3 linked regions of the Notamacropus eugenii genome follow. The protein of the gene in region 1 purifies or fractionates together with the protein of each later gene. This does not show direct contact. Links are inferred from orthologs where the notes say so. Each region holds a gene or a part of one and is shown on either strand. Other genes may lie near its edges. The genes, in order: AP1M1, AP1S2 and ATG9A.

Region 1 (7,114 bases):
AGATATGAAGGGAGAAGAGGCCAGAACAGTAGTATTTAGAAAGAAGTGATGTGTGCATGCTACAGCTCATTCCAAGTAAGATTACAGGATCTAAACTGGAAGGAACCTCAGAGATCATCTAATCGAGCCCATTCTCTGAAACCATTAGGTAAAAGAAGTAAGAGTATCTACATTAGATACCTTGGTGGGACCATAATCACTGTCCTCAAAATATCTAAAGATTTTCATATGGAAGAGGCCTCAGACTTATTAGGTGACCCCAAGAGCTAGGTATCTAGAGTCCTAGATTCTGGTCATGCCTCTGTCGCTCCTTCTTCTTCTGTGGTGTTCTGAGCTCCTTCCTCCCTCTGGACTTCTGCTCCTTCATTTGGAAAATGAACAACTTAAACGGACAAGTATGGTGGTGTGATTGTGAGGATTTGCTGACAAGCAAGGAAGGGGAGGGGAGCTATTTTTTAACTTAGGTCTAAGAGTTTTTTCCTAAATGATAGAATTAATGAGTTCACTGACCTAGATTAGAAAGACCCTTTCATCACAACTGATGGCCAGCAGTGAGTACCTGAGAGGAAGTCTGACAATACCTGTTGAATCTACTCATTCAATTTTATTAAACATTTCAAAATGACTACTATATGCTGAAAGGATGTAAGTTTCTTGAGGGAAGAGGCTTTCATTTTTGTCTTTATATTTCCAGTACCTGGAACATAGTTAATACTTTATAAATGTTTGTTGATTGATTACAGGATCTTCTACTGTTCTGCAGAGGAGATTTCTTTTTAATTCGATACAAATCTACATAAGGCGTATAGTAACACTTAAAAGGGCTATAAGAATGTCAGCTATTATTAATAAAAGGCAATTGATAAGAACTCTCCCAAAACTGTTCATTAACAGTATTTAAAAATAACAAAAAAAGTTTTATTTATAATAACAAACTATGTGTCCAATGATTGGCTAGCTGAACAAATAATTCTACATGCATATAATGGAAAATTATTAGGCCATAAAGAGTGTCAAATGTAGAGAATTCAGAGAATTATAAGACTCATATGAAGTGATACAGAGTGAAGGAAGCAGAGACAAAAGAACAACATATGCAATGAGAGTAAATACAATTAACACTGGAGAAGCAGTAAAATTCTGGTAAAAAACAACGGTCAATGTAATACTGCCCAAGTTAAAGGACACACCTTACATTTCTGTTAATAATCAATAAACTTACTTTTCTTCTCCAGGGAATGTACTTTGTGGAGGGATGTGGTTGGGTATTTACTGGGAATTATATGCAGCATCAAAAAAGATGTCAAATAATTTATTTAAGCCAAATTGAAGTACTGTAAGAAAGGTACTAGAACACTAAAAGTCAGAATGAACTAAGACTGTCAAGGAAAGCTAAGGACAACAAAAAAAGATTTTTAAAAGCTATACTGGAGAAAAGAGTTAAGAAGTATTCAATGTAGATGGGACAATGATAATGAATGGAGAGAAGACAATTATTCAACTAGGACCTTACTTCTGTTTCTGTGTTAAGGAGAATGGTCTTTGGACTGGAAAGGACAGAACAAATGGAGAGACACTGAAAGAGTGGTTAGCTGCCCTTGATGAGTTCAAGTGACCAGGCCCAGGTAAATTACATTCCAGGCTAATGAAAGAACTTTTGAATGCTATTTCTGAGCCACTATCAGTCATCTTTAAAGGATCAGGCAGAAGAAGAGGGGTGTTGGGGCTAGAGAAAGGCAAATGTCTCTTATTTTCATAAAAGGGAAAAGAGTAGAATATGAAACTCATTGTCCAATAAGCTTGACTTTGACTCCTAGAAAATTCTAGAATGTGTCACTGAAAGGGGTCTATCTTCAGGTGGTGAACATTTAGAAAAGAAAGTAGTAATCACAAAGTGTCACACTTTCACCAGAAACAGGTCATGCTAGACTAACTTCATTTCCTCTTTTGATAGGGTAGATCAGGGGACTGTGATAGATACAGTTTACTTCTCTGCATTTGATGAAGACTCTCATGCTATTTTTGAAGGCAAGATGGAGAAGTATGGGCTTGGCAGTAACACAATTAGAAGGATTTGGAACTGGCTGAATGGCCATACCCAAAGCACAGTAAAAGACTCTCTACTGCAGTGTCCATTGAATCTGTGCTTGGCTTTGTAATATTGGACATTTTCATCAATAATCTGGAAAACGGTGCACATGGCACACTTATGAAATAAGCACAAAGCACAAAGCTAGGAGAGACAGCCAATAGGTTAAATGGCAGAGCTAGGAATCCAAAAAAATACTTGACAGTCTAAGACACTGGGCTAAATTTAATAAGATGAAATTTAACAGATTAATGCAAAGTCTTCCACTTGGGTTTAAAAAGGTCAGCTACTCAAGCTGGAAGAGGCACGGCTAAGCAACAGTTCATATGAAAAAGATCTTGTGGTTTTAGTGGGCTGCAAGCTGAATATATGAGTCAACAGGGTGACAGGACAGCCGAATGATGTTAAACTAAGAAGCACGGGTATTCAGAAAGGGGGAGCAGATAGATATTCTCTGCTGAGTTTACTCTGTTTTGGTCAGACCATATTTGGAGTACTGTTTGATTTTGCACGCCATGTTTTAAGAAGGGCATTAACAAGCTGGAAAATGCCCCAGGGAGGGGGAAAAAGAACTGTGAAGGACCTTGAATGCACATCAGGGGATGACTGGTTGGAGGAACAAGGGCTCTTTAGCCTGGAGAAGAGCTTTAGGAGGGATAGGACGGTTGTCTTCTACTATCTGAATGGCAGTTACTTGGGAAGAAATACTTGTTCTGTTTAGACCCAGGAAAGAGACCTAAGGACAACGTGGAAGCTGCAAAGAAGCCATTTCAGTCTGGACCCTAACGACGAGAGCTGGCCCGAAGCGCGGCGGAACCCACTAAGACGGAGACGGCTGGAAGATCGGCGGCCTGGGACGCCAGGTCAGCACCGGGGGGGACGGCACTCACCACACAGCCCAGGGCCTCCACAGCCCGGCACCACCCTACTTTTTCACGCGTTCTTCCCCCCTCCACCATCGGAGCTCCGGTCGGACAGGGCCCCTCGCCCTGCGGCGGCACCGTGGCTTCTGCCCTCTCATCCCTATGGCCTGAGGGCCCAGTCAGGCGCCTTCGCTCTGTGCGTCTCTAAGGCACTGAACGTGGACCTTGGCACCATTACCACCAGGGCATTTTCTCTCTCTCCTAGCCCTGCCCGGCGCCCTCCTCCAGAGGAGCGCGCTGGGGCGAGAAGGGCGCCGGCTGGGTCGTGGGAGGCCCTGGGTTCAAATGCCATCGGATGCTCCGCGTCTGAACCGTGACGCCCCTTCCAGCTCGACGTCTGGGGTCCCACGGCAGAGCTGGCACTGCCTCTTGCCCATCTTCGGTATCCCCAGAGTTTAGCCCAGGGCCTGGCACACTGTAAAGTGCTCGTGGATGGCATGGGCTGCCCCGGGGCTGGGGCTGCCACCAGGACAGGCAAGGCGGCGGTCAAACACTGACAGGGTGACAGGGACCGCGAGCGGGTGGGGGAAGTCCCCGCCCCTGCCTTGGGGAGGGGCCGTTACCAGGCAACGCGGAGGGGGGAAGCGGCGCGGACCGAGGCCAGGTTTCCCTACCTTGCCCTTTAGGTCTAGCACATACACGGCGCTGGCCGACATGGCGGCGGCGGCGGCAGCGGCGGGGAGGGGGCGAGGTGGAGGGCGAGGCGCGGCAGCAAGAGAGGCGGCGGCACCGGGGCGAGCAGGCGGGCGCACCCGACCCGCGGCACCTCACTTCCACTTCCGCCCTGGAACCGTTATGTCCGGCTTGGGAAACGGCCTTTGGCCTCTGGCGCACGCGCAGGGGAGGGAGGGCATGGGCGTCCGCTCCGTGCGCGCGCCGCCGAGGCGCAGGCGCACTGAGCTCCGATGAAGCCATGCGTCCTCCCAGAGCTCAGGCGGCAGCGAGCTCAGGCGGCGGCCCAGCCCTGGGGCCGAGGGGGAAACCTCGAGAGGGAGGAGATGGAGGAGACGGAGAGTGACGGAGCCTGCCAGGCCCCGCAGATAGTCATAATATCCGTAACGGTGGCGCCGGAGGGCAGCTTAGAACTAGAACGTCAGAGCCGGGAGGGCCCCTAGAACAGGGAACGTCAGAGTTAGGAGGGGCCCCTGAACTGAGAACGTCAGGCCCGGAGGGGCCCCTGGGGCAGGGAACATCTGGGCCGGGAGGGGCCCCTGGGGCAGGGAACATCTGGGCCGGGAGGGGTCCCTGGGGCAGGGAACGTCAGACCCGGAGGGGCCCCTAGAACAGAGAACGTCAGGCCCGGAGGGGCCCCTGAGGCAGGGAACATCTGGGCCGGGAGGGGTCCCTGGGGCAGGGAACATCTGGGCCGGGAGGGGCCCCTAGAACAAGGCCCCTGGAGCATAGAATGGGGGAGCTAAGAGGGCCCTTAGAACAGATTCCAAGAGACCATTAAACTTGCCTGGGGTCACAGAGCCTGTGTCAAAGCGGGGATTTGAACCCAGGGTCTTCCCGGGTCCAAAGACAGGCCCTGCATCGCCCGCTCCATCCCACTGCTCTCTTAACTTGGATTCCTTGCTCAGTCCCTTACTGAACTCACATGGCGGTCCTGGAAACCCCCCGAACCCCGTGTCACCACCTTCCCCTCAGACCTCACAGAGCCCTCTCTCCAGTAGACTTCTCTCCTAAGATTACATTGTTGAATTTCCTTTACTGGGCTTTGGGCCCTACGAAGGCAGGGGCCTGTTTCCATTTACACTTCTAATTTTCCCCATATGGAAGGCAATAAAAGCAAACATTTACATAGCACTTACTGTGTACGTGCCAGGCACTGGCTAAGCACTTTACCATTATTACCTCACAACCACCCTGGGAGGCAGACGCTATCATCATCCCCGTCTTACAGATGAGGAAACTAAGGCAAACAGGTCAGATAACCTGCCCAGACTCCTACACCTAACATCTAAGGTTGCATTTGAGATCGGGTCTTCCTGACTCCCGGCCTAGCAGTCTGCATTATGGGTCCACATAATATTTGTTGAAAACACAGATTCTGGAGCTGCGAGTGACTACAGCATTGTGGCTGAGAGCACCAGAGGTGGAGGCAGTGGGAGGGGGGCGGAGGTGTGGGGGGGAAGTGAGGAGAGCCTTGGGCTTGGATCAGCATCAAACACTTACTAGCGGTGTGAGCCTGGGCAAGTCATTTAACCTCTGCTTGCCTCGGTTTCCTTAGTTGTAAAATGGGGATAGTAATAGGGTTGTGGAGAGGATTAAAGGAGATATTTGTAAAATCACTTAGCATAGTGCCTTGCACATAGTAGGTGCTTAATACTTGTTCTCTCCCCTCCTCCCTTCTGCAGCAGGGATCCTTAATACAGAGTCCATGGATAGTTTCAGAGGGCCTGTAAAGTTAGACGGAAACAAATTACATTTTTATTTCAATGTTTCTTTTGTAATCCTACATTTTTTATTGTATGCATTTGAGAACATTTTTATTTTATTGTTGGGTCTCCTGTCTTGTTCTGGCAATGACCACTGCTGACCAGCAGGAAAACTTTCTTTGCCCTGCTCCATTTCTGTCCTGGATCGGGGTCACCCCCTCCTTAGGCAGCCTGGTGTCCTTCCTCATCCTCCTCCCCTCCCTTGCCCCGAGGGCTCATGATCTTGGTGCTGATCATAGTGTAGATATCCTGATCAACTTCAGCTCCACTGCAAGCTCGGAACACCTGAGCGCAAGCAATCTACCAGCCACACCCTCCCCAGTAGTGTGGAGGGCAGGCCTGTGGAACCTCACTTGGATAAATTATGATTGAGAAGGAGTCCATAGGCTTCATCATAGGATCCATGACTCCTGCTCCTTTATCCTGCTCAGCAGAATAAACTTTATCTTTACCAGTGACTATCCACATTTCAATTCAAATAAACAAGCACTTTTGTACAAGACCCTTACCTTTATCCCAAGCTGTTTTTCTGTCCTTCACCAGGTCAGTCTTCTCTGGTCCCAGATAACTAGTAATCAGTATCTTAAATGCTGCCTCATTCCTCGACAGAGAAGGATGGAGAGGAACCCATGCCCTGAGGTCAGAAGGCAGGAGATGTATTACCAGGTTTTGTATCCTCAGGCTTGAAGTAGTTCTTGCCCAGGCCCACCACTATCAACTCCAGTAGCAGAAGCTAGATCCCATGTATACCAGATTACTTATAGCACAACTTTTTTTTTGTGGTAGCAGAGAAGTAGAAACAAAATGGACATCCACTGAGGAATGTCTGAGGAGATGGCCAGGTGGCACAGTGGATAAAGTATTGGGGTCAGAAAGTTCAATTCTAGCTTCAGAAACTTACTAGCTATGTGACCTAGGGCAAGACACTAATTCTGTCTGCCTCAGTTTCCTCAACCATAAAATAAGGGTAAATCACATGTACCTCCCAGGGCTGTTGTGAGAATCAAATGAGATATCTGATAAAAACCCTTAGCAAGTGCTTGGTACATAGTAGGCACTTAATAAATGTTTGTTCCCTCTCCCCCTTTTTCACTAACTTACCTCCACACTAGGATTACATATTCTCCCCTTAGCTTCTCAATCCCTTATTTCCTTTAAAATTTAGCTCAAGCCCCACTTCCTAGAAGAAGCCTTTCTTGATCCCTGCAGCTGCTGGTCTCTTCCCCTCAGAAGTTAGCTGTTTTTTTGTGTATGCTTCTGCATGTACGTGTCATCTCCTTGATAGAACTGGAAGCTTTCTGAGAGCAGGGATTGTTTTACCTTGTGCCTAGTGCCTAGTAGGTGCTTAGCAAATATTTTGTGATTGAATGGCTAAAGAAATTGTAGGTTGTGAATCTAATGGAATATTATTGTAAGAAATGATGTGGAATTCAGAGAAACATGGGAATATTTGTATGTAGTGTGCAGTGAAGAAAGCAGAACCAGGAAAATCATCTATACCTTGACTACAATCAATCAGTCAACAAGCAACAAGCATTTATTAAAAGCACTAAGCTTGGTGCCAGGAACATAGAGACAAACATGAAGCAATCCCGGTCCTTAAGAAGCCTACAATTCTATGGGGAAGACTACACAGATATTAATAAGTATATACCCAAAATAAA
Region 2 (7,273 bases), on another chromosome or scaffold:
AGGAGTTACTTGAACTGTTGTATCATTAACAGAAACAGGTAATGGGGGATGGAAGGGAAGGAGAAGGAGAGAGGAAAATGAATGAATGAGACTTTGGCCAGTGAGTTTGAAACTGAAATATACAGATAAAGAAGTTTGCTCAATCAAACAGCTAGTCCACTAATAAAACTAGAACTGAGTTCAGTTCTTTTGTCCCACCATCTATCATTGTTTAGTTCTTCAACCTACCAACATTTTGCTTTTTAGATTCATGTAATAGATATTATAATATCCCACATCCAACTATTAGCTTATTCAGTTTCATAAACTTCTCAAATACATGGGCTATCTGGTGAATATAAAGGATTGAATCAATTTTCACACCACAGGCTACACATTCAATTGGATGCTTTCTCCCTAACTTTCAATAAAGTTATTATTAATAAGACCAAACTATCTGGAAAGCGCATTAAATTGGTATTAAAGAGACCTGAGTTCTTCATAACTTGGGCAAATCTCAACAATGTCATTCTATGAACATTTATTAAGGCACTATAGTAACCTAGGCCTGGTGATACAAAGACAAAAAAGAAACAACTTGTAGAGGTTTCAGTTTCCTCATCTGTACACTAAGTTGGGAGGCAGAAAGAATGGACTGGATGATTTCTAGGGTCCCTTCCATTTCAAAATTCTATTCTTTCTAAATAATACTGCTTACAAAAGGTCAGAACTGATCACTAAATCCAATTTTTACAAAATAATATGAATGCAGTTTTACTTTCCTCTAAATTCATCTACCACTAGTTTTGAATTGCTTTTTATACAATCTTAAATGCTTAAAAAAGAGAAGGAATGGAGAAAATTGATCTTTTTTCCCTTTCTGATTTCAAAACTTTATATTATCAGTTCTTTTTTTCCATATTACAAAATGTTTGTCTAATACTGAAATATTTCTTTTTTATTCTGCTCAGTAAAGTTATTTTACTTCATAAGAATGAAATTATTAAAGGAAAAGAAACAAGGTGAAATCAACACCCCAAATCAAAGTCTACAGATTAAAAATAATTTATTTCACAGTTATGAGAAATATTACTTTCGTTTCAATATAATTATACTACTATACTTTCCACAGAAGTAAATGTTACTATTAAAAAATATATTTCTCATCGTGTTATAAAGAGTAATTTTCAGTTGTTATTTCATAGAGATCAAACTTCAACATCTTCCTATGATGAAACTACTTCGTAACTCGCCACATTTTTGATATTGCAAAACGTGCATTAACTTTGTTAATAACAAAGTGGGCTTTGTCTCAAATAAACAAGAATTTTAAACATCAATATGACTGAAAAGGCTTAGATATAAGATGTGTGACAAAAATCAGTCTCAAATGATCAGCTTGCTTTTATGTCAAGTGCTGTAACTATAAACCCAAAAAGGTTCCGGCCTTCAATGAACTTACATTCTACGGGGGAGACAATATGCATGTGTCTAAGTATTGACAAAATACATAAAAGATTCTTTTTTCCCTCAGGAAATAGGAAGGGAGAAATGAGCAACCAGGCAGGGTTCAGGAAAGACACAATTTCAAGATGCAAAAGTGAGAAAAGTATGAACCCCAGGTATTTTGGGGGCTGGAAGAGACAGGTATGGAAGCAGGCCTTAAATAATGCTGTATGTAAGCAAAAGCAAGGCCAGTTTGACTGGACCTACCTACGGGTACATGAAAGAAGAACATGTATAATTAACCAGGAAAGGTAGGTTAGAGTCAGATTTTGAAAAGCTTTTTAAACACAAACCAGAGTTTAAATCTGATGCTCAGTATTTTAGTTACCTGTCTAGGCGAACCTCAGTGAAAATTATTATTCCAATTTTACTAACCAGATGACATTTTAAAAAATGCCTAAACTAAACAGTGTATACTAGTGGGTTCAAATCCCATTTTGGACATTTAATACCTATGTGATAATAAGCAAGGTATGTCTTTTCAAAAACCTCAATAAAATATAGGTAATAGTTGTCCTACCTACCTTAGAGGGTTGTTGAAGAAAAATAGCTTTGCAGCTCTTAAAATGCTATTTAAATGTGAGTAATGATTATTTACTTTTTCTAAAAGTTAATATGTATGAAGACTTAATAAATTTATAAATGAGTATACTCATCATTAAAGCTATTTTTAAGCTTTGAAAGAATCATCTATTAAAAGTATTTCCTGATTTGTCATTTCAATTCTGCATCAAAGGAGGCATATTATAGTTTACTTCATCTAAGGTTTCATCACTTTAAGTCTACTTTAAGAATTTCTAATTACAAAAGTGGTCTTCCTCTTTGTATAATTGTCCGTAAGTCACTTTTCATTCATATTTGACTACTATTATGAACTAAATAACATTTGGTCTCCTACTGCAACTTTCTGAAAAATGAAAATTATACCTTTTGTAGACAATCTTCAGATCTCGCCACTCCAAAAAACTGCACATTTTGGGTTTACGGGCTAAAACTGTTTGAACAAGTTCTCTTGTGATTTTTTTCTTTTCTTTGTCCGACAGTGGAACATACCATTTCTGGAGTCGGAGCTTTCCTTGACGACTAAAAAGCAACATAAACTGCATCTGGTAAAATAAACAAATCAAATCTTATTTTCAGATTCTACACACACTGAGATAAAGCTACATTTTTTCAATGTAGCTTTTAACAAGCTCCATTATAACAGAACAGAGAGAAAGTAAATTGATACATGATTATCATAATATCCACACTAAATTAAAAAATAAAAATAAATCATTCACAGAGCTGTCTCTCTCACACACACAAACTCAGAAATGCAATTGAAAATTTAAAAATTATTATAATTATGGTTAGAGCAGGAAACCATCACCTTTGATACGCTTTAAAGAGGCAAAGAATAACATGTTTTAGTAACATTTGATGTAGTCATATAAAACATGTTTGTTTTCTCTTATAATACCTTATTTGTCCCAACCGGATGGCACTTTTCAAGACAAATTAACATTTCAGTTGGTATCTTTTAACAGAAATAAAAATATGAAAGATCAACCATACTTTCAGACAAAATTTCTCTTCTCATATTCATTTTATAAAAATTCAAAACAACACACACTGTGCCAAACTGGGGCATGACTGTATTATCAAAATCAAAATCATATATACACAAATGCTACCTTTTAAAGTATTTGATATTTGTATGCTTAGTTAGGGTCTGCAAATAAAATTGTGACCATTTAAAAATTTATTATTTCAGGAAAACTTATTTTAGTTAAACTTGACTTTTAAACTACAAATAAGGAAATACTGAATAAATGAAATAACATATTTCATATGTAATTTTTCAATATCTTTTTTATAGTCGTGTTAACATTTCAAGTACAATTGTAATTCTGGATTTTTCCCCTAACATTCATAATATGCTGACTTTTTAAACATATTTCTTTATTGTGAAATGGGCCCTTTCTCGATTTTGTAAAAAATAATTTGCAAAATTATAAATAATCAAATATGTCTTACATTTTTGACTGGGTTAATCTTATTCAACCAATTAAAACCTAAGTCAATCCTCCCTCATTTAACAAAACACAGTCCAACAGTCCATACGCATTTATTAAACGCTTACTATGAGTCAAGTATTGGGCTAATAACATTAATACACTTTTCCACAGATCTCAAAGCTCCTCACAAAGGAGGACTGCAATATATTTATGAACCGCTTACTGTAGGTCAAGCACTACGCTAATGGAAATACTTTTCCAAGGATCTCAAAGCTCCTCCCAAACGAGGACGACACCACAACGTATTTATTAATTCAATCATTGGGCTAATAATACAAAGACTGTACACCTTTCCACGTAAAAGAAAACTGACGGACTCTGTCCAATCTCAAAGCGGCTGAAGAACTAGGAATAGAACGGATTCCATTTCCCCAGATCTTGTGTTATTGAGACGCAAAGTGCAGACTGCCCGCTGGAGGGAGGGGGAGCCCGTGGCCACAACTCCGACTTCTCACGTTGGATGAATCACTTATCCTCCCATAAGACGAGTTACCTGAAAATCTGGGGCTCTACCTGCCCGAGCCTCGGTGAAACCAACCCCCGGGACCTTAAATAAATACATAAGGCGAAAGGCAGAGGAAGAGTGCTTTCCAGGGGGCGGGCAGGGCTGCCTGTTAGACTGAGGATGGCCAAGACGCTCCTGGAGTCACAGCTCTCCTTTAGTCAGAAAAGACGCTCCAGGAGCGCCAGGCAGGGAGGGCGAGAGGGGAAGGGGAGAGACAATGGCCCGCGGCCGCGCTCCGTGCCCCTCGCGAGGACCCTACTTCCCCCTGCCCGGGTCCCCCGACTCGCCATCCCTGGGCAGGGAAAGTCCATTTCGGCCAGAGACAATCCATCTCCTCTGCCCGCCGGGAGAGGGCGAGCGGACAGAGGGGAATCCCCTCCTGCCGGGGGCGCCAGGAAAGGACCCCGAGTTAGGTAAAGCGACTCCGCTCGCTCCTCGCCACGAGTGCCCGAGACAACCCAAACACAACAATCCCCCCCAAAAGGGAGCAGGATTAAGTCATGCGTCCGCTCCCCATCTCTTCTCCGGGATGGAAGCTGGAGGGAGGCTTGAGGGGGTGCACCGTGTACCACCCCACCCCCCCTGACGGGTCACCTTAGGGGTGCGGTCCACGGGGAAGGGAGAAGACACTCCGGGAAGTCTCTGCTCGAGATCCACGCGCGCGCGCGACAGGAGACAATATTACGATGGGGGGGCGACACTTCTCCCCCCACGTGACAGCCGCTCCCACGAGGAGTCCCCCCCTACACACACACTTACTGTGGCCTCAGACGGGAGGGAAGCGCGGTGGCCGCCCGCAGCTCTCAGAGCCCGCAGCAGCCGCCAAGTGAAAAGCCCCCTCCGAGCGTCTGGGAGCCAAGCAGGCGGGGAGTGGGGAGAGGACAGAGGGAGAGGGGCGGGGGAGGCCCCGCCCAAGGGGCCGGCCGAGGGAGGAGCCCGGGGATTCGGGGCGGGGGCTGGAGAGAGGAGGCGGGGTGAGCGGAACCGGGATAACCGGTTCCCGGATCTCCCCCCTACACCACCAACCCCCGCCCCCCCCCCCGCCCCTCTGCAAAACGGGCGGGCTGCGCCACTCCGCCGTTGGGCGCCGGAAACGGGCGCACGTGACCCGGAAACGGCTTCGTGGACGGAGCCTGTCCCCCAGCAGTCCTCCCCCTCCCTCGCCTCTCACTGCCTAACCGGCGGGCGGCGCATGTGCGCGCTCTTTCCCTTCCCTCCTCTTCTCCCCTGGCCCTCCCTTCTCTCTCCCCGCCCTTCTGCTCCTCCTCCTTCCCCCCGCCCCAGTAGTACCATAACGCCGAGTAGGCTGAGTGCTGTACAGTTACTTGTACGGGCACTGACTGGGAAGAGATGAGGCAGCCTGCTGCTCAGGTTCAGAACCCCGCTGCTACTGAGCCTGCGCAGTAACGCAGTCCGCGGCCACGCGGAGGCGGGCTCATGCTCCCCGTCCTCCAGTCCGGGGCTTCGCTTGGAGCCGCGCGCTGGCTTGTTTGTTTCCTTCCCTGGTGGAGGGGCGGGGGTGGGGGGGAGCAGGTGGGGAAAAAAACCAAGCGACTAGCCATACTCCAAGCCGGGAGGCGGGGAAGGGAAGAAAGCGGCTCCCGAATGGTCTTCGGCGAGAGCTAGAGATGCACCCCAGCGTCCAGGCTGAGCGGGGTGCAGTGGGACGCGCGCACGTGCAGTGTAGCTTTCCTTAAAGTAGAATCGACCAAAGAAGCTTAGCTGATGATGGGCGGGAGGAAGGGAGGAAGCTGATGGATCACCAGGCGTTCTGCGAGGGAACCCAGCACTTAGGAACTTGTCCTGGGTCGGGCGTGACTACTAGGCGGGGCTCCAGGGATTGGGCGTGGGTGGAGGGGACCGAAGTGGGAGTGGTGTCTCCGAGGAGGGGAAGCAAGAGGGCTGGAAATGAAACAGCCGTTCGTCTGGCCTCCGTCCTTACTAAATAGAAAGCGAGGGGAACACCCTCCCCCGGCAAGTGGACATGCGATCTGTACCTGCCTTTTACGCTAGGTTTTGCTTGGTGGTTCTTAGTACAAGTCTAGGTGGGGGGTGGGGGAGATCACCCTCTCCGTGAGGTTCGTATTGCAGTGAGAATGCAGGAAAAGTCCCGGGCCGGCGGCGCCGTGGGGTGCCCCGGGTGATCTCAGCTCCTCCGGGCGCACGTTTGCTATTTCCTGTGTGAAGGGGATCAGCCGAATTCCCAGTTCGGTCTATGTATCTGCTTGTAGTTGAGGAAGTTTCCTTTCCACAAATTCGGTGGTGGGAACCCTCCCTCTGTGCCTCCCCCTTTGTGACCACTGTCCTCTGCTAGGATGTGTTGTTAACCCGTGGACGGGTACACCCATCTGCATGTGCCTTTTTTATTCCCGGTAGTCAGAGGAGATTCTTCTTTTAGCAAAACATCCTGAGTTATCTACCTTCAAATATAAAAATCATTAGTAATACTTCTGACACGTTGGGGAAGAATAAACGTGGTTTTTTTTGTGCGTGTAGATACATTTGTAGGTCTATGAAAATAAGAAAATGGCATTTGTAGATGAAAATAGTCTAACCATTACATAACCTTTTTATACCACTGAAACAATGGCTTATTAAATCCTAATAGCCAAACACAACTGCAAACAACCCAGCAATTATAAGGGGTAGTGCCATTTAAAAAATATGGTCTTCTATTGGCAAGAATAAAGAACACAATTTAAAGAAGCAGATGGTCTTTTCAGTAGATTGTGTGTAGTTCATTCCCTAGTCACAATATTAATTGCTAATTGTGCAGTCACTGTGAAGGCTGTAAGCACTAGTTTGTTAGTAATTAACCGCTTGCCTTTAGATCCAAAGGTTTCCAAATTGTGGGCTTTTATAAAATACATGTTTCATCCCTCTAAACATCGTATTTATTTGTCAGGTCATTAAGGTATATTTTCTACTCATCAACTTTAACTGGAAAAAAAATCTCACTAAAAATTCTTTCAGAAATCATTTTATCTCCTTGCCATGAACTCAAAGTAGTTGGTGTTTCTCAAATAGCTAGAGTTTTTTCATTTAAAGTGCAAAATTTTAATGTTAAATTCTCAATGAGAATATAATGGGATAGGGGTTCTATTTAGTTGTAACTCTTGGGGGGAAAGTCATGATAAATTGATTACAATAGGTCAGGGGTTGTATTAGGAACCTAATTCTAGAGCATCTCTCAGAAGTGTTATAAAAATATTATTTAGAAATG
Region 3 (7,128 bases), on another chromosome or scaffold:
AGTGAGCCATTCTCTTGGATCCTGGTAAGGAGGGGAACAGGCACCCTGACCCACCTGCCTGCCTAACTTTTGTACAGACTGCCCTCAAAGGCCATTCTGCAAGCCAGTTGCTACACCTGAACTTGTGTTCGAAGGTCAGGCTGGCATCCTACACACACATGTTCCCCAGAACTGACTGTATGACAGTAGCCACTGCAGCCACCATTTTTAGCCTCAACATGTACTGAGCTGTGCTAAGAAACCAAAGTAAAATGTGCTTGGGCACACACACACAGACACACAGACAGACAGACAGACAGACAGACACACACACACACACACACACACACACACACACACACACACACTCTCTCTGACATTTAGACTTAAAACTTCTCTTCCCAAAGGGCAAGTTTATATATGTTACATACAAGAGAAATACAATGTCATCCATTAAAAGCAATTTACAGAAAAAGGGCACCTTCAAAGGAAAGGAATATCAACTAAGGTGTAGCAGTCTTTCTGTTATCAGCAGGGTCTTCCATAGTTAGGACAAAAAGTCTCTTAAGCTTAAAATGCTATTTTGAATTCCTGAAGCTGCTTGCTGTCTCCTCCAGCTAATGCACATTATCCAAATAACAAGTGAAACTTAACAGCACTTTTATCACCTTGGGTCCTTACCTGGCACTGCACACCTGGGCAGGCAGGAAGGCATCTGGCAATGTGACTTTGACAGGATCACTAGGGTGCAGACTGTGATTCACCATCTTGTTAGCAAAGAGGATGTCATAATCCACACAGCTGACCAGAAAGGTGGTAAAGGCCACCACAAAGAGAAACTGCCTAAGAGAAAAAGAAGTAGGAAGGTGCTTGGGTGTCTCCTGGTGTTGAGGAAACAACAGTGAGACATAAAGGAAATTAAAAGGACATGTGGGAGGTGAAGGATAGGCTTTTGTTGAGAAAGAGGCAGAAAGGAGCTAAGTGTGGCCCCAACTCAAGGCCACATCCGCTTCTTTAGGCTCAATGACCTATATGAAATCACTGAAATGGAAGCAGGAGGATGAAGCCCTTCCCCCTTCAGTCTACTTACATGAGTTCAAACACATCCCCAATGAGCATGCATGTAAAGCCATTCTTCTGGTGCAGGTTATAGACGTGTGGCCGTTAAGAAAGCACTTGGGATAGGTGAGGGCCTAGGATCCCATAAAGAAGGTAGGTCCCAAACACCCTACAATAAGGACATCTTCCTTAGTCCCTCTTAACCCTTCAGTATTCTCCATCTTTGTTCCTAGGAGTACAGTCTCAATCCCATCCCTACTTCCCCCCTACCCTCTCAGGACTTTGCTTAGAGAGTATCTGAGTTTGGGTACAGTCACCTCTCCTGTAAACAACAACAAAGGATATCCGAGAGAAAAAGAGGTCAAGGTTTTCAATGTGATGCCAAGGGGCTGTGGAAATAAGGAGAAGGAAGTCAGGACATCCCTTCCCTGCCCACTAAGGGACATCCCAAACTGCCCCAACATCCTCTTTCCAGGGACTCACACTTGCTGCCCTCAGGGACATGTACTAGCAAGTCCTCTTCTCCAGGGGGTGAGTCACTGTAGGAGGCCTCCAGCCGTTGGTACTCTGTGTCAAACTGTGCCATCACCACCGCCTACCTGCCTTGTCCACCTCAAAAGAATAAGGGAAAAACGGGGGCTATTTTTGATTCAGCACATGAGCAAAGAGTGGAAAGACTTTCAACTCAATCTTTGTCACCAGCTTTTCCTTTTGGAATGGGGCTTTATTGTGTAGCCTTGATTTAGGAGTTATGATTCCTAGCTTCAGCTAAATCATTCAACAAGACTTTATGGAGTTTTTACTGGTCTTTGCTAGGATACGGATGATTTTTAGGTGTGGCCTGTCAAGTGGGAATGAGTTTCACTTTCACTTAAGGGGATGATTCATGTTCCCCCTCCTCTAGCAGAAGGTATCCCAGTCTTTTATAAGAATAAAAGAGGCAATCCAGATTGTGCTTGATTGATTGATTAATCACTGGTAAGGAAGCACGTCGTGAACAAAGGGTTTATATAACTCTCAGGGCACCTACCAGCTCCATGGACAGCATTTGTTCCACTCCACTGTTGGATGCCCAAGTGGTTCTGCAGCTGCAGGAGGAGGTGTTAGGCAGACAATGGAGGTGGGAGAAGGGATGAGACTAACAGAGGAAAATGAAACTAAGGGCAGATCACCCCAAGATGAGGCCAGCTGGGCACTGGTGGTGGTGGTAAGTACTTCCTCCGGCTATGTGGACAGCCCAGCTAGCTACTCGGAGCTTCGGGGCCCCAGAACACGTTCTACCCGCCTTAGGAGCACCAGGTCAGGGTGCCCAGGCTGCCTCTTCTCCTGACCCTTATTAACTGACCTTCTAGGAGCCCTCAGACCAGACCCATACGGGGCTAACGCGAAGCCCACTTGGAATAGGCTTCCCTATTCCCTAGATCGTGACGGCGGCCGACCCTCCCACGGCCCCGGCAATGCCTGCCAGAGCAGACCCAGAGTCAGCGGACTTGGGGCTGGCAGGCTCAGCCTCAGGGTCACCGCAACCACGGGGTCAGGTTTCCCCGGGGCCGGCTCCCTCCCGGTTTGGCCTTACAAGCCCGACGAGGAGGGGCCTTTCCCATGGCCGCTCCTGGGCCTCCGGGCCGCTCGGTCGCGGACAACTGGCCGCGCGCTCCCGGACCCCCACCTCCCGCCCCCTTCCCGGAGCGCGCCCCCGCCCGCGTGTGCCCAGTGATCAAAACACCCGGAGCGCGCGTCCCCGCCCGGTTCCCCCCAGTTACCGCGCCCCCGCTTCTCCTCCCCCACAACTTCCCCCCCTCCAGCCTCGGTCGTTCCAGGCTCAGTGGGCACGTACGCCCCGTCCTGTCCCAGGCCCCCCGTCGCCGGTTACCGGTCCTCTGCTCCTCCTTAAGCCCAGGCAGCGGTGGAAGTGCTGGCGTCCAGGGCTCCGACTCCGGCCCCAACCCGAGCACTAGGCCGGGCGGATGCCACTCATTGTCTCCCGCAGCCAGTCGGACCAATGACTACAGGGGGTGGAGATGCGACAACCAATCCCTTGCTGCGGGGGTGGGACATGTGGCGCGTAGCGGGTGGAGCTTTAGTGGGACCAATACAAGGCTCCTTAGAGGGCGAGGCTAAGAGACGGCGCCGCGGAATGTCCTTCTTGGGGCCCCGTAGTGACGGACCCGAGGTGATGTTTCTGGGAGCTGAGCGGGACTGAGACGGCCTCGGCGCCGAGGGCCTTCCCGTGGGCCGCACCGACACTGTGCAGTCACCGCTGGAGCCAGTCGCCCTGGTAACGCGCAGGTGGCCGGGGGTCTCAGTCGCGCCCCGACTGCTGGACGTGGAAGCCGAGGCGCCCGCCCGCCGCCGCCATGCCGCCCGGCCCAGTTCGAGCCCAGCCTCAGGCCTCCGTGTCCGTGTTTGACCTCAGGGCAGGCGACTCGCTCCTGCAGGGCCTACGCCTGGTGGGCCGGGCGCAGGGCGCGGCCTTGCCCCGGGCCCCGGCGGGTCCAGGTAGCCGAGGGCCCCGGGGAGGGGCGGTGTGGGAGGGACTCCCCCGTGGGCCTCGGCCTTTCTGTGACTGCCCGGGGAGGATCCCCCGGGGAGCGCGGCGAACTTACTCTGCGCGGTCATCTGAAGTTACCACGCGGGTGCGCTGGGGTTTTGTTTTTGTTCGGCAAACCTACAGAATTCCCCCTGAACTGCCGGCAGCCACAGTGCTCGGATTTTAAGATTGTCCGTGGGCAGCGCCCCTCCCGAACACCCGCAAAGCCATGGCCTTGTGTGGGTGTGGCAAAAAGGGCTGGAGATCCAGTTGGCCCCGCTGGTTTTAGTGGGCCCTGGCCGCCCCTGAGGTTCTCTCCTTCCCTTCATTCCAGACTCCGAGAAGGAGACCAGCCCCGGGGGACAGGAGGTCCCCAAGGGGCACGCTGAAGTCTCCGATCGCATGTTTTGCTCGGCCTGCATCCAGTCCTTCCAGAGCCGCCAGGATCAGGTACCCGGATCGGACTGCAGTGCGCGGGGCAGGACTGGGCAGGGGCAGGGGCCGGTGGGCTGGAGCTCATGCTGAGTCTGCATTCCACCAGAGGGAGCATTACACTTTGGATTGGCATCGTTTTAACCTGAAGCAGCGCCTCAGGGGCCAGCCTCCCCTGTCTGCCCACGAGTTTGAGAAGCAGAGCTGTTCAGGTGACCAGTGGGGACAGGTACAGCCCGTGGAGGGGTTCAGCCAGGGAATTTGGGGAAGGTGAGGGGTATGACATGAGTCCCCCCACCTTGTCCCCAGGAGACTTTTCCAGTATCTCGGGTTCAGAAGAAGACTCGGACTGGGACTCCGAGGCAGAAAAGGCCAAGTTGGAGGAGCTGGTGGAGCTAAGGAGACCAGACTCCCACCGTGGCTTTCACCCACACCGTGTCCTCTTTTGTAATGCTCAGGGCCAGTTCCTCTCTGCCTTTCGATGCCTCCTGGGTCCTCGACAGGCAAGTAACCTCCTCAGTTTCTTTGTTTGCTCCAACTCTTTTGTCCCCTCTAGCCTAGACTTCCATTTTGTACATTTGTCTCTCACCTCTTCCCTGAGTTTGGATGGATAGAACAAACACTTATTAAACACCTGCTGTGTGCCAGGCACTGTGCTAAAAATGGGAACAAGTGCCATGGGTTGAGCTAGTCCAGGGGTGGGGAATCTACTACCTCAAGGTCACACGAGGCTCTCTAGGCCCTCAAGTTTGGCCCTTTATATCAAAACCTCACAGAACAAATCCCCAGTCAAAGGGCTGCACTTGAGGACCTAGAGGGCCAAAGGTTCCCTAGACCTGAGATAGTCTGTACTTTGATGGTGGCATGGTAATAATAATAGCTTGCATTTGTATAGCACTTTAAAGTTTGCAAAGCTTTTTCAAATATATCTATCTTCACAATAACCCTGGGAGGTTGATGGTATTATTATCCCCATTTTACAGATGAGGAAACTGAGGCTGAGAGAGGTTAGGCGACTTTCCCAAGGTCATACAGTGTCTGAGGCTGGATTTGAACTCAGGTCTTCCTCACTCCAGGGCCAGTACTATACTGTACTACCTAGTTGCTACTAAGGGTGAATTATTAAGTTCTGAGAGCAGACTGCAGAAGATACAGTAGGTTGAGCTAATGTTTTCTTCCTTATCTTTGTAGGACCCCGCCAAGGAGGCAGAATTGCTGTTGCAGACCCTACAGGGTGGGGGTCCTCAGTGCTGTGTGGTCCTCATGGCTGCAGCTGGTCACTTTGCTGGTGCTGTCTTCAGAGGGTAATAAGCAAAAACTGAACAGAGTGTTGAGATGAGTGCAGGATTAGTTTCTCAGAAAAGCCCTCTCACCTTCAGGACTGAATATACTGTTTGTAGGAGAGAAGTAGTGACACACAAAACATTTCACCGCTACACTGTCCGGGCACGGCAGGGGACAGCTCAGGGACTTCAGGATGCCCGTGTTGGAGGTTCTCGTTCTGCTGGAGCCAACTTGAGGCGCTACAACGAAGCTGCACTATACAAGGTGGGTCATGAAGCTCCTTCAGAATCTTTTCTCAAAATTTTCTTCTCCCTCAATTTAGTTTCTTCTAACATAAGTGGAATAGGAAGGATTTTGCCCCCACTCCCCCTTTTTTTAAAAATAATTACCAACATTGCTTTTTCCTAAGAAGAAATTTTAGAGTGGAAATCTCCAGGGGCATTACTCCCTTTAATTTTTAACCCTCCTATGTCTTCCCTCAATCTATGATTCTTGAGTCACTGCCTGGCTGGAGGATGGAACATAGCCTGTGGAGCTGAGCTGCTGTCTCTTCTAGGAGGTTCGAGAGCTGCTGGCAGGGCCAGGCTGGGCAGGGCCACTGGGGGAGGCAGGGACTATACTGCTTCGAGCTCCCCGGTCTGGCCAGGCTCTCTTCTTCGGGGGCCGTGAAGCACCACTGCACCGGGGGGATCCCCGTCTGTGGGATATTCCCCTTGCTACCCGTAGACCCACCTTTCGAGAGCTTCAACGTGTACTTCAGGTGCTGGCCATGGTGCACATTCATGGTGAGAGCTTAGCCCAGATCTTCAGGTTATTTCTTCCTACTTTCTGACCCAAATTCTGGTAAAAGGGAACCATTTGGTGCCTATGGGGCTCCCCAGCCACATCTTCATGGTGAGGACCTTGGTATTCCTTCTTCTAACTGAGCCTACTAGGGAGCCTACTGGTCACAGCTTTCTGTTTTGGTACAGGAGAAGACCCAAGGGAAATGACCAGATTGGATTCTCCTCAGACAGACTGGAAAGTGAAAAGTGAGAAAAAGAAGACCACCAGTCAGAAGGGTCCAAGTAATGATGATGAGGTCATTAGGCTGAGTGGTGAGTCTCTCCTTGTGAAGTAGAGTTTTTCTCATGCCTCAAAGAACTCTTCTTTTCCAGGTGTTTCACTCAAAAAGGTACCAAAATTTGAGTTCATCTTCCTCTTTTTCCATGAGGATATCTATTTTTCTGTTGCATATATTGGACTCAGTCCTGTGCAGATACTTTTCGATCACTAACTTCCCAACTCAAATTTGTGCTTTCCTTTGGGAGAGACAATAGAGATGGGTCATGTCTGCCAGGGAAGCTTTGGCTTCTCAGGGTAGACCTCCTGTAAAGTTTCTTAAAGTCCCTGATCAAGAGCTACTCTACTGACACGATGTTATTAAAACAAAGCTATGAGCTTTTGATTTTGCTAGTTTCTATTCTCCTGGGTTTGCCTCTATTATGAGTCACTTTCTTCCTCTGTCCTTGCTGGGCCAATCTTCACAGCGTAGAGTGGCGGTTTCTGTATTTAAAATAGTAGTTACCATTAATGATTGACAATGTGCTCTTTTTTTATGTTCTGAATTATAGTGTTTATCTATCTTTATACATTTTCATTCATCTAAGCAGCTCACAGATGCCAGAACCATATCTTTCTATCTGCTAATGTGACCCTCCATTTTTTTCTTCAGAGTCTGAAGGAGAAGGCAGCTCCCCTGTGGAGCTGGAGCTGGTAGAGTTGACCCTGGGAACCCTGGATCTTCGTGAGTTTGAATTACTGCCCAAGAGGAGAAGAAGAAAAAGGAAGAAGAAAAGCCAGGA

Evidence for each region.
Region 2: the proteins of AP1M1 (region 1) and AP1S2 fractionate together in Homo sapiens (co-fractionation; 6 studies listed by BioGRID and IntAct, counting the BioPlex papers as one, with this or other methods). This does not show direct contact. The link is inferred for Notamacropus eugenii from reciprocal best matches to the Homo sapiens genes AP1M1 and AP1S2.
Region 3: the proteins of AP1M1 (region 1) and ATG9A purify together in Homo sapiens (affinity purification with western blotting, with the first as the bait; 3 studies listed by BioGRID). This does not show direct contact. The link is inferred for Notamacropus eugenii from reciprocal best matches to the Homo sapiens genes AP1M1 and ATG9A.

Annotation. Positions count from the first base shown.
Region 1 is NC_092875.1:59,288,232-59,295,345, reverse strand, and holds the start of AP1M1 (AP-1 complex subunit mu-1), read right to left. Parts: upstream 3,088-7,114; 5' UTR 3,049-3,087; coding exon 2,980-3,048; intron 1-2,979. UniProt on the Homo sapiens protein: Subunit of clathrin-associated adaptor protein complex 1 that plays a role in protein sorting in the trans-Golgi network (TGN) and endosomes.
Region 2 is NC_092876.1:374,165,519-374,172,791, reverse strand, and holds the start of AP1S2 (AP-1 complex subunit sigma-2), read right to left. Parts: upstream 3,022-7,273; 5' UTR 2,993-3,021; coding exon 2,948-2,992; intron 2,592-2,947; coding exon 2,413-2,591; intron 1-2,412. UniProt on the Homo sapiens protein: Subunit of clathrin-associated adaptor protein complex 1 that plays a role in protein sorting in the late-Golgi/trans-Golgi network (TGN) and/or endosomes.
Region 3 is NC_092877.1:317,720,565-317,727,692, forward strand, and holds the start of ATG9A (autophagy-related protein 9A), read right to left. Parts: upstream 3,003-7,128; 5' UTR 2,912-3,002; intron 2,177-2,911; exon of another isoform or gene 2,127-2,176; 5' UTR 2,069-2,126; intron 1,651-2,068; 5' UTR 1,625-1,650; coding exon 1,522-1,624; intron 1,428-1,521; coding exon 1,384-1,427; exon of another isoform or gene 1,356-1,383; intron 1,208-1,355; exon of another isoform or gene 1,135-1,207; coding exon 1,070-1,134; intron 823-1,069; coding exon 661-822; intron 22-660; coding exon 1-21. Other genes in the region: tRNA endonuclease ANKZF1, read left to right, coding at 3,396-3,537, 3,903-4,018, 4,110-4,212, 4,310-4,503, 5,192-5,304, 5,401-5,548, 5,841-6,069, 6,256-6,381 and 1 more. UniProt on the Homo sapiens protein: Phospholipid scramblase involved in autophagy by mediating autophagosomal membrane expansion. Cycles between the preautophagosomal structure/phagophore assembly site (PAS) and the cytoplasmic vesicle pool and supplies membrane for the growing autophagosome.